Kluyveromyces lactis: one gene and its partners. The protein of the gene in region 5 purifies or fractionates together with the protein of the main gene of each other region. This does not show direct contact. Links are inferred from orthologs where the notes say so. Each region holds a gene or a part of one and is shown on either strand. Other genes may lie near its edges. The genes, in order: COR1, COX12, MGE1, QCR8, COX4, RCF2 and COX9.

Region 1 (3,260 bases), on a different chromosome or scaffold from region 5:
TCTTGATGGTTAAAATGTATTCAATTGCTCACCAGTAAATGACAGTATCATAAATAAGGACATTGAACTCATATTTTTGTTTCGACGAATAATGAGCGAGATTTTGATTTATTTCGATTTAGCCTAAATTTTCAAATATCATTTGGAATTAAAAAATACATTATGTTCATTAAATGTATTGATCTTGAGGAGCTGTGACAGAGCGAAAAATCGAATGCGCCAGTAAACACCCTAGACTTTAGTCCAAAACAGTAAAATATTGATATAAATCGATCGTGACAAATTTCTTTTTTTGGGGGAATATACACACATGAAATTAAACTGTAACTTATTACTCATCGAGTGATATGGTTATAACAACTCAAAAGTAAATGTTACAGGGAGTAATTCTACTCAGTCGAGTAGAAAAGAGAGAATTGTTTTTAGAATGACCGTCGTGAAATGAGAATATAATATAAAAAGAATTGTTAAAATATCTTAAGACTCGGCTTTTAGTTTGATTACCATCTCATCATACTCATGTCGTTTCTCATTCTGACGTAGTCCAACAAGTCTTCAATCTTACCAGTACCGGCAACAGCGATATCTTGATCCCATAATCTTTCGGAAGCCCAAGCCTTAATATCCTTGGAGGTAATTTTGTCAATCTTAGTGAAGACTTCAGCCAAGGCTGGCTTAGCACCCAAAACCAAGGTTTGAGCACCCAACAAGTTAGCAGCAGCAGCGTTGGTAGAAACTTGAGAAGCCAACTTCAACTTTAACAAAGACTTAGCACGAGCGACTTCAGTTTCGGTGACAGAGATGGACAATCTGTTCCATTGCTTCAAAGTGAAATGGACAGTTTCATCGATGTTGTGTGGGTCGGTGATGGTGGTTCTGAAACCCCACAAACCGGAGTCCTTATAAGAGACAGAGAAGTGTTCGAAAGAGTCACACAAGTGGTATTCGTTAACTTCGTCGATCAACTTAACACCTTGTAGGTTGGAAGCTGGTTCAGCAGCAACGAAAGTACCGAAGACTTCAGCAGCGACTTGAGCAACATAGTATTGTGGAGAATTGATAGGTTCACCTTCAGCAGCGATAGATACCCAAGCCTTTGGTAGAGTATCATCTCTTAGTCTGACTTCAGAACCCAAGAAAGTGGACTTCTTCTTTGGCACTGGTTTGTCACCAGATAGCAAAGAAAGCTTAGTTTCAACAGCCTTGACCAATTCATCGTGGTTAACGTTACCGGTACCAACAATAACAGAGTTGTTTGCCTTGAATTGGTTTTGAACGAAGTTGGACAAGTCGATGTTTTCCAAACCTTCTAGAGTTTCGACAGTACCTCTGACTGGCAAAGACAATGGAGTGTTTTGGAAAGCAGTGGCGTGCAAGTGTTCGAAAACACGTTGTTCGTGTTCAGTTTCTTCGAACTTGGCAACAGTGTCTACAGTAGCTCTCTTGGAACTTTCGAAGACGGAGTCCTCAATTGGAGCGAAAAGCTTGGATTGCAAGAATTCTAGAGCCTTAGCATATTGACCTGGTTGAGAGTTAACAATGTAAGATTGGTGGTCTCTGCCAACCTTGGTTTCTAAGGAGAATCCCAATTTTTGAGCATCCTTGATAGAAGAGTTGACAAAGGAGTTAGCCAACAAGTTGGAAACACCGTTGTTGTATGGGTTTTCGGCAGTAGTACCGGAACCGAACACCAAACCGACCGCAGCAGTGGCAGAGTTGCTGTTTGGTTCAGTAGCAACAACAACACCGTTAGATAGTTCGGTGACGATGGCTTTTGGGGTAATTTGAGTGGCAATGGTTCTCTTCAAGATTGAAGATCTAGTAGCGGTTCTCAACATCTTTCTTATGGCAAATAATTGGTTATAATCCGTTTAATCAATATAGTGTGTTGAATTTGTACGTGCAAAATAAATAGAATACGGGATCAAAAACAAGTCAATGAGCTCCCAAATGTAATACCTTCGAAGTTATAATTCTCGTTTACTTTTTTCCTTGGAAACCTTTCTGTTGGTATACTATCGATTCAAAAAACAGTATAGTGGTATTTCACTGAAAAAAATATAAAGCAAAGTTTGGATAGTTTTTAGCCTAACTGAATTCTCAATTTCCTTAAAATTGTGCACACTTGACTGAAGCAATATACAAGAGTAGAAAACTATAAACAGGTCTAAATAAAGTTAGTGTACTTTCATTAAACAAATATCAATGATTTATCTAACTACTTTTAATTTTTTTTTAATTTTGGAAGGTTACACTATATGAAAAAAGTGAAAAATGTTGATACTGAGAGCGCTGTCTAGTTTTTCGATATTTCCATAATTTTTTTTTTTTACCTCTTCTTCTTTGTCTTCTCTGTAGCATAGAGATTTTCTTTCATTGGACAACGACCTGTCCACATAATTAATAGGGGACCCCCTTTGAACAATTATTAAAATCGTTTCTGGCCGAGAAACTGGTCCGAAAAACAAAAATTTACATAGTAGCGAGTACTTTTCGGGACGAGAATTTAGCCCCAAAACTGCTAATTCCATCTGCTCGAACATTTCCAATCAAATCGACATTTTTGGGATTGCATATCCCTCTTTCTCGCTCATCTCGCAGTTACGGAAGTATCGGTACCAGCATTTCTTTTCCCATAATAAACAGTGGAAATGCTCGATTTCCTATGGTAAGCGGTAAACTTTGAATGAAAAATGAACCGTGAAATACGATGCCCGAACTGGATTTCCATTGGTTCGTCAAAGATGATCAAATACCGAGATTGAAATTCGACTCACGTGAATAAAATTACACTTACCCGCACAATAGAAAGATTCGGGTAAGTACCAAAGTCCAAATGAGTACTTTTTTTTTTTTTGATTACTTGCTTGCTTGCTGGTGGTTTGTGCGTACAGTGTAAGTGTTCGATTCTCGCCTTGAAAACACCGCAACGAATATCCATTCGGATTTACTCTTCGGAAATAAAATCATCATTTCATTCGCCAACTATCCCTGCATGTATTTACGACTTCTTCAAGCAAGGTTTCTAAGAAATTTAGAAGGGAGCTTATTCCCGCAAAGCAAAATGCGCTGAAAAATGGTCGGTCCATCAGGATCCAAATATCTTAACTCCCATGTAATCCCCGTCCGGAACGGTTGTTGTTCTTGCCGCCAGTTTTGAAAGAATGCCTCCCGTATTATTTCAGTTTTCTTTTGACATGGATTCTTGGGTTAACAGCCGTGGTAAAATAGCTCCGCGGGATCTATTTTATTACATGGAA
Region 2 (2,129 bases), on a different chromosome or scaffold from region 5:
ACAAAGTTTAAACTGTGTTCTAAATTGATCTTTCTTTGTAAATTTTTTTTATGAGAGTATTGTTTTAATAAAAGTGAAACTTGTACTGGGATTTCCGGATCTCCATCAATGTTACTTAATTTCCACACTAAGGTCTGGAATGATGATCCAAGACGCTGAAACTTATATTGAGTGGAAAACGTTACAAAGTGACAATAACATCGAAAGGGGAAACGGAGGACGGATGTGAATGGGATAATAAATATATTGTTTTAAAAAGAAAATGAATGAAAAATCGATGGGACAGAAAACAGTGAAGCCATTGTTCGAGGAAAGTGAATGAAAATAATAAAAGAGGAAGATACGTTAAGTACGAATCATAACAGATAATTTCAGTATCTGTTGTCACATCTTGCTCCAAATGAATATCATCTTTTTTTGTTTTTAGTTTTCCTAAACTAGTTCTTCACTAATTAACTGCCTCTTTTTTCATCGCATTATATCACATATTTCCAACCAGTTTATGGGTTAATGTCACCAGCAAAGATACCCTGGGATCTTTGTTCATCCCACTTTTCAACCCAGTCAACTGGACATAGAGAGGAGTAGGTCTTCCAGAAAACCTTGCATGGAGCGAAGTCTTCACCCTTAGCATTGATACACTTGTGGTAATCCACGTACGATTGCCAGCAGTGCTTTGTTTGGTTTTGGTTTGGGAATCTAGCGTCGAAACCAACGGTGTGTAATGGAGATTCTTGATTTTCAGCCATTGTAATAGGGTTTATCGGTGATGATGTTTGAACAAAGAGTGATCTTAATTAACCTGAACAAAATCAATACAAAACTAAAATATCTTTGAATAAGAATGAACAAACAAATCTCAAACTAATCTAAAACTAAAACTCAAAACAAAAATAACAACAAGAATTGAAAAGAATAGTTCTTAAACTTCTTTATTTTAATTCTAAAAACTAATCAGTTAAACTAAATAGAAAGTTAGAATAATCAAAATCTTTTTTTCGGCTTCAAGAAAAACTATGAAAATATCATTCGAAAATTTCATTAGGAATGAAAAAAAAAAAAAAGATGAAATATCGTAACATTAAGAAGAGGTAGCACAAACAGATACTCCGCAGACATAGACTTTAATAGTAATATTACTAGTATATATCCAGCGTAAAAGGGGTCAATTGAATATTACATCTACCCTAGTATACAGCTGTGTAGTACCAGAGAAAGGAGTACATATGCTTCGTTCAATTAAAAGCGTAACTGTAAAATACCTGGTTAATTGCGAAAAAATCGCAGTATATGATGGTAACACTTTTCCATTCAGCAAGAAAACGCATCATCTTCTTATTATGGCACGAGATGTTTGATTTGAATAGTGTGAGCATACATATTTTATATGGGGTTTGAATGTAATCGTCTTTGACGATGCAGTCCTTGTGATTGGCCGAGTATCACGTGACAAGTGCGGTTAGAAAAAAGGTATTTCCCAGTATTAATTAGATCATGTCCAGACAAGTCTGTGCTAGTGTAGTATTTCCCTTACTGTCTAGTGCTCTTAAGAATCGAATTAGTTGTAGAGCGAAATCCCAATACTCTTGTGCTTGCTCTTTTGTAGTTGAAAGAGTGGCAGTGGATACGAATATCTTGAGGACTTGACCTATGACTGTTTCGTCTTTTAGGATGGTGGATACACTAGTATCTGGAGAAGTCTCTCTACTATCAGATTCCTTGAGTCCGTTTGTATGGCTCTTTTCCTTGTTCTTGTTCTTGTTCTTGTTTTTGTTGTTCTTGTTCTTGTTGTTCTTGTTCTTTCGTTTTGTGGACTTTGTCGTGACCTCTTCCTGTTTAGATTCACTATCGCCCTCGTCATAGTTTAAGAATACCATCAAAAGCGTACCCAAGATCTTCGCTTCAGATAGAGCAATGCACTTGGTGATAAGATCTCTTGGAGTTAGTTTTAGATTCTCAAATAAGTAGTCCCAATGTTTTGTTTCGATCTTTCTTAAACAATTCCCTACGATTTCAAGTTTACCAACTTCATTCTTAATCCCGCCTGAATTTTTATCATAGGTATCGATTAATGATAATATGGAGTTCAAGTCCTCATGTTCCAATACTTTACTGGATAGAATTTTTTC
Region 3 (2,663 bases), about 190 kb from region 5:
GAGGATTTGAGGGCTCATATAGATACCGTTTTGGGTGGAGTGGCTGATGGAAGATTGAGTTCAGAGTATACTAAAGATGTAGAGCCTGCAGGGGTTGGATGTTCTTACTTATGCGTTTCGTTCATGCTCTCGGACGTACCTTAACGGATGACAGACCGTTTTAATAAGAGAAAGAAAGGTCCTTTCATTTTGGATCATGGTAGAGAATTCATATACATATGTGCAAGTTTATTTACATGGGAATTAAGTAGGGTCATTGTGGCGAGACCATTATGACCGTTATGAGGGAACATAAAAGTCAAACCTGCTGCGAACAAAAAGAGATGTTTTCCGTTCAAAAGCTGATCGATGTTATCATGCAGAATGAAAGAAAAATGGAGTGAGGAGGGGAAAAAAAGTTAGAAGGTTCATAAAACAAGCATTATCGTAAATTATAAGTCATGGTAAGGTCATTTGAAGTAGATCGATTTTGGGTTCGGGGTTCTTTATTGAGAGATTTTCTAATTTTCATTGTCCTTAACAATACCGACCTTAGCTGGTCTGATAACTCTGTCGTTCAAAGTGTAACCAATTTGTTGAACGTGGAAAACGGTACCTGGTTCCTTGTCTGGTTGAGGCAATTCGAAAGTAGCTTCGTGCTTATTTGGATCAAAAGATTCGCCAATTGGATTTAGTTGTTCAATACCGTGCTTCTTCAAAGTCTTTTCGAAAACGTCCCTGGTCATCTTGACACCGGTATATAGATCAGAAAGCTCTTGAGATTGTTCCAGAGTTTCTGGTTTGAAAGCGTTCAAAGCATGGCCAAAGTTGTCGACGGATTCCAACAAGTCCTTGGCGAATTTTTGCAAAGCGAAATCCTTGGCCTTTTGGATATCCTTCTTGGTAACTTCTTGCAAATTTCTGAAATCAGCAACTGATCTCAACAAACGGTCCTTAAATTCAGAGGCTTCCTTAGTCTTGGCATCCAACTTGGTTTCCAAATCTTTAATCTTTTTTTGCTCTTCAGTCAAATTTGCGTCTTCTTCAGCTGCAGCTGCATCGTTCTCATCCTTAGGTTCTTCCTTCTTGGCTTCATCAGCATAGAATCTAACACCGGAAAACCTAGCAGAAAACTGGTTGGAGGTTGCAGCACTAGATCTCAAAGTGCTAGATACAAATGGCACAGTAGTAGATCTGAAACCGATTGGAACAGTTCTGGTAACGCTTCTCAAGAATCTGGTTGATGGTCTCATATTTTATTGTATTCTGTTAGTAAATATTCTCTGGTCGACTTGAGTCTCACTATTAACAGTGGTTATTTAGCAAAACAAAGTGAGTTCAAATCCAACTGAGTGTCAATAAGAGGTAGTGACAGTTGGTATGTAAGATGTATTGGGTTGTTTTACTAATTCTTTCTTCTTAAATGTCTTCTTATATACGGTTCTTTCTCTCTTTCATGATCATTTTTTCAATTCAAACCAAACTCTATGAAAAAATTGAAACTTGATCCGATTTATGTTGTGGAACACGTGACATGCAGCCATTTGAGAAATGATTTATCTATACATGTTCCTGCATGTTCTATCTAGTGGGCCAGTAGGGGCTAGCAATCAATCCGCCCAACAAGTTTGAATAAACTTCTTCATGTTAACGTGTTTCTTGGTTTGTCCCACCATCCAGGGGTGTTGTAGCATTTGTCTTGGAGATGGTCTATCCTTTGAATCTTTTTTCAGACTGTAATCAAGGAACGATTTGAAGGATTTGGACCATACTATGCCTTGTTCTGGTTCATCTTTCAATTCAGGTGTGAAAGTCAAGATAAGCATCAAAAGTTCTATAGGGGGCATGTTTGCTGCTAGTTTATCCGTATCAAATGGTGAGTGTCCCTGTGCAACTTCCAATAGTGTGAGACCCAAAGACCATACATCACTGGTAACACTGTATGGCTGGCCCTGTATCCTTTCTGGAGCCATGTAGTATGATGTTCCTGTAAACGTGGTGGCAAGAGAGTTCACTGCCTCTCCACTGACTCCAAAATCGCAGAGCTTTATTTGTCCTATTTCGTTGAACAATATGTTCTGTGGCTTAATATCTCTATGAATGATCTTTCTTTCGTGTAGATAAAATAGTCCTCTAAGTACGCTCTCAGCTATCTTCCCCAGAACCTTCTCACCAATTCGTCCCCCCTTAGAGAGAAGGTGCTTGTACACCGAATCTAGCGATCTTCCGCCCATATATTCCATCGCAATAAAAATTGTCGAGGTTTCTTCGCATGCAAACATCCCGTAATACCTCACTATGAAATCAGACTTACAACTCTTGTTGAATTGCAATTCTCTGAATATTTGTTTCTCTGAGCCATCATTCTCTATCGTGGCAATGGTCTTCAATGCAAATATTTTTGAACCGTTCCTTAACTTACATTTCGTGACCGATCCTCCAGTTCCTTCGCCCAATATTCCCAACGTATCAATTTGTTCATGGATCTTGTAAGTTTGCCATATATCTGACTCAAGTTCATCTGTGCTATCATCTCTATCGTGCTCTATAATTTCACTTTCTTTCCCATGGTTTACCAGGCTTGTGCTGCTGCTTGTTGTTGGTTCGCTATCGTACATGGATATTAGATTGGAAGTCATCGAATCTGCACTTTGGGTTGACTGCTGTGATCCAGACGTTGGCAG
Region 4 (2,066 bases), on a different chromosome or scaffold from region 5:
TCTTGGCCGGGTACGGTATGCCCGAAGAAGCCATCGAATGGTACGAAAAATCATTGAACTACAACACCCCAGGTGGTAAGTTGAACCGTGGTCTTTCTGTCGTTGACACATACGCGCTTTTGAAAGGTTACAAGTCAGTGAGCGAACTATCTGCAGAAGAGTACAAGAAGGTTGCCATCCTTGGTTGGTGTATTGAACTGTTGCAAGCGTACTTCTTGGTTGCTGATGACATGATGGACCAATCGATCACAAGAAGAGGACAACCATGTTGGTACAAAGTGGAAAACGTCGGCGACATTGCGATCAACGATGCATTCATGTTGGAAGGTGCCATCTACTGTCTGTTGAAGAAACACTTCAGAACAGAGCCATACTACGTCGATCTATTGGAATTGTTCCATGACGTTACTTTTCAAACCGAATTGGGTCAGTTGTTGGATTTGATCACTGCACCAGAGGACAAAGTCGACTTATCCAAGTTCTCTTTGGAAAAGCATTCCTTCATCGTTATCTTCAAGACTGCATACTACTCTTTCTACTTAGCAGTGGCACTGGCCATGTTTGCTGCCGGTATTACCGACTCAAAGGACTTGAAACAGGCCAGCGACGTATTGATCCCATTGGGAGAATATTTCCAAATCCAAGACGATTTCTTGGATTGTTTCGGTAAACCAGAAGATATCGGTAAGATTGGTACCGATATCCAAGACAACAAATGTTCTTGGGTCATCAACGTTGCATTGAAGAATGCTACAAAAGAACAAAGAGATATCTTGGACGAAAACTACGGTAGAAAGGATTCTGAAAAGGAACAAAAATGTAGAGCTGTATTCAACGAATTGAACATCCAAGACATCTACCACAAGTACGAAGAAGAAACCGCTTCCAACTTAAGAGAGAAAATCGCTAACATCGACGAATCCCGTGGGTTCAAGGCCGAAGTTCTAACCTTGTTCTTGAACAAAATATACCACAGAAAGAAGTAGGTAAAGCATATATTATCTAACCATTTTAGATCACGTGCAACTAAATAAATAAAAGTAAGTTTCACTACCAGTATCACTGTATACGAACCAATAATACTACGTTTCGGCCTTTTCGCTTCTAAAAGACGAAGTCTTGAAAATCTTCCAGCGAGGGAAAAAGCTTTATATATAAGAAATAAGCTTTAAACCTCTACTTATTCAGATATTCAAATGATGCAAAGATGGAAAACTATTATACATAGTTTAGTCTCTGACTCAGTATCCGCAAGACCAAGAATTAAAATATTAAGACGAAATGGGTGGTCCACATGCTAAGGCTTACATGGGCTGGTGGGGTAGTATAGGTTCCCCAGCCCAAAAGGGTATTACTACATACACTGTTTCTCCATATGCTCAAAAGCCATTGAACAACATCTTCCACAACGCTGTTTTTAACACATTTAGAAGAGTTAAGAGCCAAATTTTGTACATGGCTCTTCCAGCTGCTTTGTACTGGGCTTGGTGGGTCAACTGCAGAGACTACAACGCTTACTTGTACACTAAGGCCGGTAGAGAAGAATTAGAAAGAGTTAACGTTTAAACAATGTTATTACAACACTAGACTAGTTCCTTTCTTTCTTCTGTCCAGGTTTAAAAGCTTACATGGAAAAAGAGGTGCGGCAGCACCCTTTTGACACTTTTATCAACATTCAAGATATATTTCTCACGTCACAAGAACATTTTTTATCATGTCAGGCCATCGAAAAGAGTTTCAGTATTATTAGATACTATTGAAAAGGAGAGAGCGAGTGGAAGTTCACATCCTCGGTTTTTAATTCTCTCTTTTCGGGTTTGGCTCAGTACCGTATTTATTGGAGGTTTTCATCAAGTGGTTACTCCCCTCAAATATATCTTCTATACTTCACTGTTTATACGAATTTGAAAAACTACTTTATTATGAATACTTACATCTGCGTGTCAAGGGCGTGATCGTCGTGCTCATATGTCGACGATCGGTGTGCTTGCCTGTTTTACATGTATATATATATATAGATGGATAAGTTTCTCCACTAATGAAAGTCACGTGACGTTATTACTTTC
Region 5 (2,244 bases):
TGTATCGGTAATTGTCATACTGACCCTCGGTGTCACCTTGAAACAAAGACTTTTTTTTTTGAAATTTTATTGATAAAATCGTACTTAATTTAAATAATGAGTTCTTACCTGTGAAATGTAGTATGTAGAGAAACAATGTGTAACATAAGTCTTTAATTGGTTTAAACGATCCGGGGGGGGAAAGAAATAGAGGCAATTGGTATAAAATATGAATCAATCATTCTTTTAAAATTCAATAGATCTGGCCTGTTCCCCGCTTTCCAAACATATAAACAAATCTTGATTATGTGCAGGACCAGTTCAAGTATATGTCCCCACTAAACTTTTTGTGTAATTTGTTGCTTCAGCTTGTGTAATTTATTATTTTGTAATATTTTAGAATAGGTTTGTGTATTTGACATTTGTATTGGAATTTTTAGAATGATATAGTGGTACACTGGTTGTTAATCCTTTTTTTACCAGGATAAGTGGGAATGATATGGAAGGAAGGATTAAAATGCTTAATGGTGACCTTCTTGAGGAACACCGACCATCTTAAGCTTGTATACACAACCGGTTTCCCAACATCTGGCGACTTGACCGTCGGTTGGCTTCAACCACATGACGTTGTGAGAACCAGCTGGGGAACCAGTGGCACCGACATAACGGTAGTCATCGTAGGATTCAACAATGATTGGGTTTTCCATGGTACCGATTCTGGAAGAGTCCAATGGCTTGGTGTCGAAAACTTCGATACCTTCCAATTTACCCAACAATTCCAATCTGGCTAAACCAGTGGCTTGGTCCAATTCGGTTGGAACTTCACCGTCTTTGGCACCAGGACCAATCAAAGTGTCAGCACCGTTAACTTCAGCCAACTTGGTAGCAGTCTTAACAACTTGTTGATCACCTGCAACCTTGGTGGTAGCAAAAGCTCTGGATGCTGGGCCGAACAACTTCGATAGGGATTGACGTAGAGACAACATTATTTCTTCTTTGTGATTGGATTGATAGGTGATAACTTAGATACTCCGATGTGTGAATCTAAAACGATGGAACAAAGGTATATTTGAATTGTAATGAACTAATCAATTAGCAATATATGACAAAAAGAACCACTTGGATACTGTAAGCTAGCTGAGACAGATAAGGTGATCAGTTGAATATATTCGCAAATGAAAGTAATCGGCGAAAGAAAACCCTCTGAAACAAACGTATGACTCTCTTGAACAAACTTGATAAAACGTCTTTAGCTACTTTCTAAAACTCTGAAATCACTGTTGAAAATATTATTCATATATATACATTCGGTTCCAATATCCTGCGAAAATCAAGAAATGAAAATTATCGCTTATAACAAAAAACGTACAAAAATCACATCATGTTTCCCAGTATGATTGGAGCAGGGAGAAGAAGGAAAGATACAAAAAAGGTGTCTACTCGTACATAGTGATGTACACATTTTTTAGCTGGAGTAGTCTTTCGTATTTGTTTCTATTTTGTTTCCGGCGAGAGTAGGATCTAGTGTGGGTGTTGTCAATTGAGTGAGAATTCTGCGATATGGTTGGCTAGAGGTCATGTGATTTATATAGGCAATGCCATGCCATTAATATTAAAGAGATTATTCATTTGATCTGGCGCGCGTCGCGTGACAGGTTATATACATATATGTGTGTACATATATGTGTGTTTCTATTATATGTGTATAATGTCAGATAATGGGGAAAATGGTTCACCTGCCAAATTTCTTCAGTTCGCAGTACCTTAGTGGTGGATATGATACTCCTGCGAAACCCATACCGAGCCACATACCTAAATCTCCGCCATACTCGCCAATCTTTGCGGCAAGTGGCCCCACGTAATACGTTTGACACATTCCAAGTACCACACCAGCAACACCGATGCAGAACGCAGCGGATGCAGCCAATCCTCTTGTGATGACTTCAGAGTTGTCCCATTCATCCCAGTTGTACCTGTGGATGTGCCTTGGTAATTTCCTTAGTTTATGATGTGGTTTCACTTCTATGTCATTGGGGAATTCCAATTTATATAGATGGTGGAACCAGTTTCTAAAGATGACGTTCTCTTCCACGAGTAAGATGAAGTACATGCTAATCCAGTAACCAATCATAGGTAGGAAATTTCCCAAGATGGTGGAAAAACTGTTTCTACCTACTAGCGCACATACGAGGTAAAAGATGGTACATCCGATAGCCCAGATCCAACGAGGCACCTTGGCTAACATCACACTTGATAATTGGATGG
Region 6 (2,394 bases), on a different chromosome or scaffold from region 5:
GAAAAGATTACAAGCAATTTTGGTCCGCATTTTTGATAATTTATGAAGGTTCTTGATTGGTTCAAAAAAGTAGTGGTATAATGTTATGAAAGCCGTACCAGCCGTCTCTATTGAAAAAAAATTGAAATAAGCTGACATTAAAAAACAACCATAACAGGTAAGGCAGCACGCCCGCATTTTTGATCTCGTGGATGGTTGCGCCACGATGCAATGAAACTGTTACAATAATCAATGATAAAAAATAGATCTTCTTTTATTAACTTGTCATGACATAGAATAATGTGAGACAAAATAACTCACCATGAAAGGTAGATTTGGTACGTTAGATCTGCTTCATTTCATTTCGTACAAGGCAGTGCTGTAAAAAAAAAACAGTTAATAGTATATGGGTCAAAATTATTCACAAGAAGGATGTGATGAGGGTGAAAATAGAATTGTACGCCTTGTAGTGTGAAGGCAATATCGTATTTCACCTCAGCTAGATTGAATTCTTCAAAAATTCAATCATATTTAAAAATCTTGGCCTTAACTCTGTCTTCGTTACTTCTGTAACCAGCGGTTGCAGCCATCTCTTCTTCCTTCTCAGCATGCTCCAAAGCCGCTTGCCAACGACGGTCTCTAGCCTCCTTCTTTTGATCTGGATGTAGCTTTTCCTCGTACATAGATAAACCAATTGAGGCTAGTAACAAAATCACAGTTATACCTTGAGCATACATTCTTGCCTGCACAGCCTTTTGGGCTTTGGTCATGTATAAGTCCCTATCAACCAATTTCCAGGATCCATACAAGGAAGCAGCCCATGCACCAACAATGATCTTGTACTTATTGTTGGACAAACCTTCGACCAATTTTTCGCTCATAGGCAGGTTCTTCCATCTGTTATGTTCAGCAAGAATATCACTGGACGAAGAGTCACCATACATTTTCTTATCAAAACTGTTAGAAGATTCTTCAGCGACAATAGAAGCCAAAAGAGTTGGAGGCGTGATGAATAAAGCAGTCTTGACAGACCATGTCATAGCCTTTGGATTGAATTTAGGATAACGATGGGGTAAAAACCTGAACATAGCTGCAGAAATTAACAGACCTGCAGCTGCACCTTTAACACCACCCATCAGGGTGTAGTGACGATGAGCATCAATTTCTTCTCTTGTTAAAATCTTCATCTTGCTGTGCTGGTTTTTTCGTCTTTCAGTTACTTATCTCTTAAGCTAACTTTTGATTCCCTTAGTTTAAATAAGGTGATAAATATCGAATTAATACTGGAACAAAATCCTAATATATCCCGATATTTATTTTAGCCAAGAGGATAAGCATTAACAAATTTTAACTGTCAAACGATATATATATATATAATTTGAAATGATTCTGTAAACGAATAAACCGAGAGAATGCTCTTCCTTATATACGATACTTTTAAATTCCCTCCCTGCCTTTGTTCCAATTATACTTTAATTTTGGTTCGATTTTACTTTTTTACTTTTTTCCTTCCCGTATGATAAATATTCTTTGTTCCTTTATTTCTTTTTCCTGCAATATCGTATACGATTTAGGATTTATGATTGTCCATGAGGCACTGCTACTGATGTTACGTAATTTTGGCAGTTAGCCAAACCCTATATCTCTCGTTCTTGTTGCCAGCCCATGAACAGGCTCAGCGTAACCTGTTCATTGCTATCAACGTATCAATGAACCATTCGATTGAAATTTCTTCCAAAGGTCAGACAAGTTTTTGTCTGAAAATAACTCCGTCAATTAGAAAGTGACTATGTTCATTACACTGATGTTCAAAATCAATCCATACTTTAGCGAAGCTAATACCTAAGTGGGACCAGCCGAACGAACTGTCCTACTCAGAAGGATTTGCGCGTGCATACGGAGATAGTGGTTTTAGTAGTTGTTACCTGAGAAGAAGCCGGTCGGAATTTGCCACGGTTGTGGCTCCACATTTCCTTGACACAAAGTTTCCTGTGATATGATTGGTCAGTCACACATGTTTAAAAAAAAAGGAAGAGCAGAGAATATGCATCGACTAACCCTAACAGCTGGAACCTACCAGATTCATCCAATAGAGTTACAGGATCTTCGAAAAGCTTCAGTTTTGGACCTAAGGCATCGGATCGTTCGGATAATATCCATTGCAATTAGTGCAGTGTTGCGTTCATTAGCCTGACCTTTTAATACAAGGGAGAGTGATTACCATTTTGAGAAATCGCCGAAATACTATTTTTCAGGTTTCTACTCTTAAGAAAAAGAGCTTAATATGTGGAAAGCCTTTGCTTTGAATATGGCCAGCAGAGTTTTGTACATCACTCTGTTTTGACGTAACCGATATGTATACTAGCTTGAGTCTCTACTGAAATACTTGTAAAATGAACGCATATTAGACTATTG
Region 7 (2,049 bases), on a different chromosome or scaffold from region 5:
ACATTTGCAGATGGATGGAATGTGTAGCAATGATGACATGAAAATAAAACGAAAATTATTGTGAAAGGATACGATATAACAAAGAGGGCAGGAAATTTATTTCTATCCACTCATTTAGAAAGCACCAAACTTCTTCAATTGCACGTAAGAAGAGATGAATGGAACAGCAAAACCTAGAGCAAAGAAACCGAAGTGGATGAAAGCGTATGGGATCTTTCTGTTGTGAATCTTAACTGGGATGTTCGAGTAAACACCTTCCTTGAAGTGGGCACCACATTGCTTGGAAGTGGCAGAGAAGGCTCTTCTGGTGGCTAGTCTGGTAACTTGGGAAAACATGTTTTGATTGGAATATTTGCTGTGGTATTGGACGCTAGGTTATCGAAACAAAGTTATTAATATCAACAATAAACTATAAACCATCCTTAACAAGAGTTGTAAATTGCAGTGCTAATTGTATTGAAATATGAAAAAAAAAATAATACGATATATTTTTTTTACCTTTCTATCGCTGCTAAGAAGAGAAACAGGATTAGGAAAAAGTCGTGCAATAACAAAAAAAATTGACAGAAGTGGGAAAACGGCTCAGAAAGTAGTGAGACACAAACGGAGTATCCGGGTAATGGTGTAAGATTTCCGACTTTCACTCTTAAAGCAAAGCTCTGCTGTGTCTTCGTGGAACGTGATTTCCCCGTGTACATATTTTTCTGAATACAGACACACTCACGTCGAATCCTGGGATATCATTGGCTAATGGGAATTTCGGTTTTAACGCGAGATCCTTTCTTGTCTACTTGTACTAACTACACTAAGATGATAAGAGGCACATGACCTGCGATCAATGGCTGCCCCAGAGTTTCTCTGACGGGAAATCTTCCCTCTTTGCCAATCCGGTGCTGTCAGTATTAGAGGAAGAAAAGCGATACCTCTCTCTTGGCTATATTGATGGGCAACCGATAGTAGGTTCTACCGGAACCTACTGAGAGTCTCAATCAGATATTGTCTTGAAAATCCACACTACAGTATGACTCGGTATTACTGGAGTTCTGAATGTCAATTCCCTCTTGGTGACAGCTTGAAAAATCGAGAAACTTTAAAAATTAAAAAAAATTGAAATAAACTTACCTGGCTCTACTATCCATTACAGGTTTTGGTTAATTTTTTTTCTAACTGTCTTCGGTTCTTTACTTTAGTCGTATGGTTTTTCTGATTTTCTTTTACTTCTTGAAATTTTGATATTTGATTAGTACTTTGTATATCTTTCCTCTGTCCCCTCTTAGTGTTGACTTTAGCCTTTTTCATTAGCTGTTGCTATCCTTAACGGTTTGTTCATCTCACATCAATCACTCTCACTTCACATCAAAGAATAATGTCTGCAATTGCTCCAATCACTGGTACTATTAGAAAGAGAATCTTGGCCGATATCACCATCGGTTTCGCTATTGGTGGTGCTATGGCTTCCTATTGGTGGTGGGGTTTCCACAAGAACATCATCAACAAGAGAGAAGCTTACTACGCTAAGTTGGCTGAACAAAAGGCTGCTGAAAACTAAGGACTGAATAAAAAAACGCAATACTTTGTGTTTTTCTATCTAAATCAACATATTCGTGTGCGGCCATGAGGTTTGAAACCTCTGTGTCCATAATACGGAGAATTGTATTCGATCCTTTTTTTCCTCCCAATTACCTATCGTTACTATAACATCCCACAACCTTTTATTTCTCTATTTATGTCAACACATACACAGATTAACAGTCATTCTGATGAATTATTGGTTAAAAATCATTAATGGTATTTTTTTTTATTCGGTACCCTTTTATCATGCTAATACGTTCTCATATTATGACTTCTTCTCCTATCAGTATTATTATTCATGAGTGGAAGCAATACCGCATCTCGACTGTTTGTTTTTTCTTGGAGGAGTTACTAAACAAAGACTTAAGGATTTCATGTGACCTTTTGTCGATTTCCAAAGAAGGTGATTGTCTCTGTTAAACAATCTTATTTTGCAAATAGGAATACTCTCTGGTTTGTTACCTTATCGCTGGAAGT

What was found.
Region 1: the proteins of COX4 (region 5) and COR1 purify together in Saccharomyces cerevisiae (affinity purification with western blotting; 9 studies listed by BioGRID, with this or other methods). This does not show direct contact. The link is inferred for Kluyveromyces lactis from reciprocal best matches to the Saccharomyces cerevisiae genes COX4 and COR1.
Region 2: the proteins of COX4 (region 5) and COX12 purify together in Saccharomyces cerevisiae (affinity purification with mass spectrometry, with the first as the bait; 3 studies listed by BioGRID). This does not show direct contact. The link is inferred for Kluyveromyces lactis from reciprocal best matches to the Saccharomyces cerevisiae genes COX4 and COX12.
Region 3: the proteins of COX4 (region 5) and MGE1 purify together in Saccharomyces cerevisiae (affinity purification with western blotting; 3 studies listed by BioGRID, with this or other methods). This does not show direct contact. The link is inferred for Kluyveromyces lactis from reciprocal best matches to the Saccharomyces cerevisiae genes COX4 and MGE1.
Region 4: the proteins of COX4 (region 5) and QCR8 purify together in Saccharomyces cerevisiae (affinity purification with mass spectrometry; 5 studies listed by BioGRID, with this or other methods). This does not show direct contact. The link is inferred for Kluyveromyces lactis from reciprocal best matches to the Saccharomyces cerevisiae genes COX4 and QCR8.
Region 6: the proteins of COX4 (region 5) and RCF2 purify together in Saccharomyces cerevisiae (affinity purification with mass spectrometry; 5 studies listed by BioGRID, with this or other methods). This does not show direct contact. The link is inferred for Kluyveromyces lactis from reciprocal best matches to the Saccharomyces cerevisiae genes COX4 and RCF2.
Region 7: the proteins of COX4 (region 5) and COX9 purify together in Saccharomyces cerevisiae (affinity purification with mass spectrometry; 4 studies listed by BioGRID, with this or other methods). This does not show direct contact. The link is inferred for Kluyveromyces lactis from reciprocal best matches to the Saccharomyces cerevisiae genes COX4 and COX9.

What each region holds. Positions count from the first base shown.
Region 1 is NC_006041.1:507,736-510,995, reverse strand, and holds COR1 (ubiquinol--cytochrome-c reductase subunit COR1), read right to left. Parts: upstream 1,839-3,260; coding exon 501-1,838; downstream 1-500. UniProt on the Saccharomyces cerevisiae protein: Component of the ubiquinol-cytochrome c oxidoreductase, a multisubunit transmembrane complex that is part of the mitochondrial electron transport chain which drives oxidative phosphorylation.
Region 2 is NC_006042.1:1,581,470-1,583,598, reverse strand, and holds COX12 (cytochrome c oxidase subunit VIb), read right to left. Parts: upstream 750-2,129; coding exon 501-749; downstream 1-500. Other genes in the region: RIC1 (Ric1p), read right to left, coding at 1,488-2,129. UniProt on the Saccharomyces cerevisiae protein: Component of the cytochrome c oxidase, the last enzyme in the mitochondrial electron transport chain which drives oxidative phosphorylation.
Region 3 is NC_006040.1:623,676-626,338, reverse strand, and holds MGE1 (mitochondrial nucleotide exchange factor MGE1), read right to left. Parts: upstream 1,233-2,663; coding exon 501-1,232; downstream 1-500. Other genes in the region: mitogen-activated protein kinase kinase MKK1, read right to left, coding at 1,590-2,663. UniProt on the Saccharomyces cerevisiae protein: Essential component of the PAM complex, a complex required for the translocation of transit peptide-containing proteins from the inner membrane into the mitochondrial matrix in an ATP-dependent manner.
Region 4 is NC_006037.1:609,774-611,839, forward strand, and holds QCR8 (ubiquinol--cytochrome-c reductase subunit 8), read left to right. Parts: upstream 1-1,281; coding exon 1,282-1,566; downstream 1,567-2,066. Other genes in the region: ERG20 (bifunctional (2E,6E)-farnesyl diphosphate synthase/dimethylallyltranstransferase), read left to right, coding at 1-986. UniProt on the Saccharomyces cerevisiae protein: Component of the ubiquinol-cytochrome c oxidoreductase, a multisubunit transmembrane complex that is part of the mitochondrial electron transport chain which drives oxidative phosphorylation.
Region 5 is NC_006040.1:437,374-439,617, reverse strand, and holds COX4 (cytochrome c oxidase subunit IV), read right to left. Parts: upstream 966-2,244; coding exon 501-965; downstream 1-500. Other genes in the region: TPN1 (Tpn1p), read right to left, coding at 1,712-2,244. UniProt on the Saccharomyces cerevisiae protein: Component of the cytochrome c oxidase, the last enzyme in the mitochondrial electron transport chain which drives oxidative phosphorylation.
Region 6 is NC_006042.1:573,921-576,314, forward strand, and holds RCF2 (Rcf2p), read right to left. Parts: upstream 1,167-2,394; coding exon 501-1,166; downstream 1-500. UniProt on the Saccharomyces cerevisiae protein: Assembly factor that plays a role in the assembly of the respiratory chain supercomplexes (SCs) composed of ubiquinol-cytochrome c oxidoreductase (cytochrome b-c1 complex, complex III, CIII) and cytochrome c oxidase (complex IV, CIV).
Region 7 is NC_006038.1:298,877-300,925, reverse strand, and holds COX9 (cytochrome c oxidase subunit VIIa), read left to right. Parts: upstream 1-1,366; coding exon 1,367-1,549; downstream 1,550-2,049. Other genes in the region: COX8 (cytochrome c oxidase subunit VIII), read right to left, coding at 115-336. UniProt on the Saccharomyces cerevisiae protein: Component of the cytochrome c oxidase, the last enzyme in the mitochondrial electron transport chain which drives oxidative phosphorylation.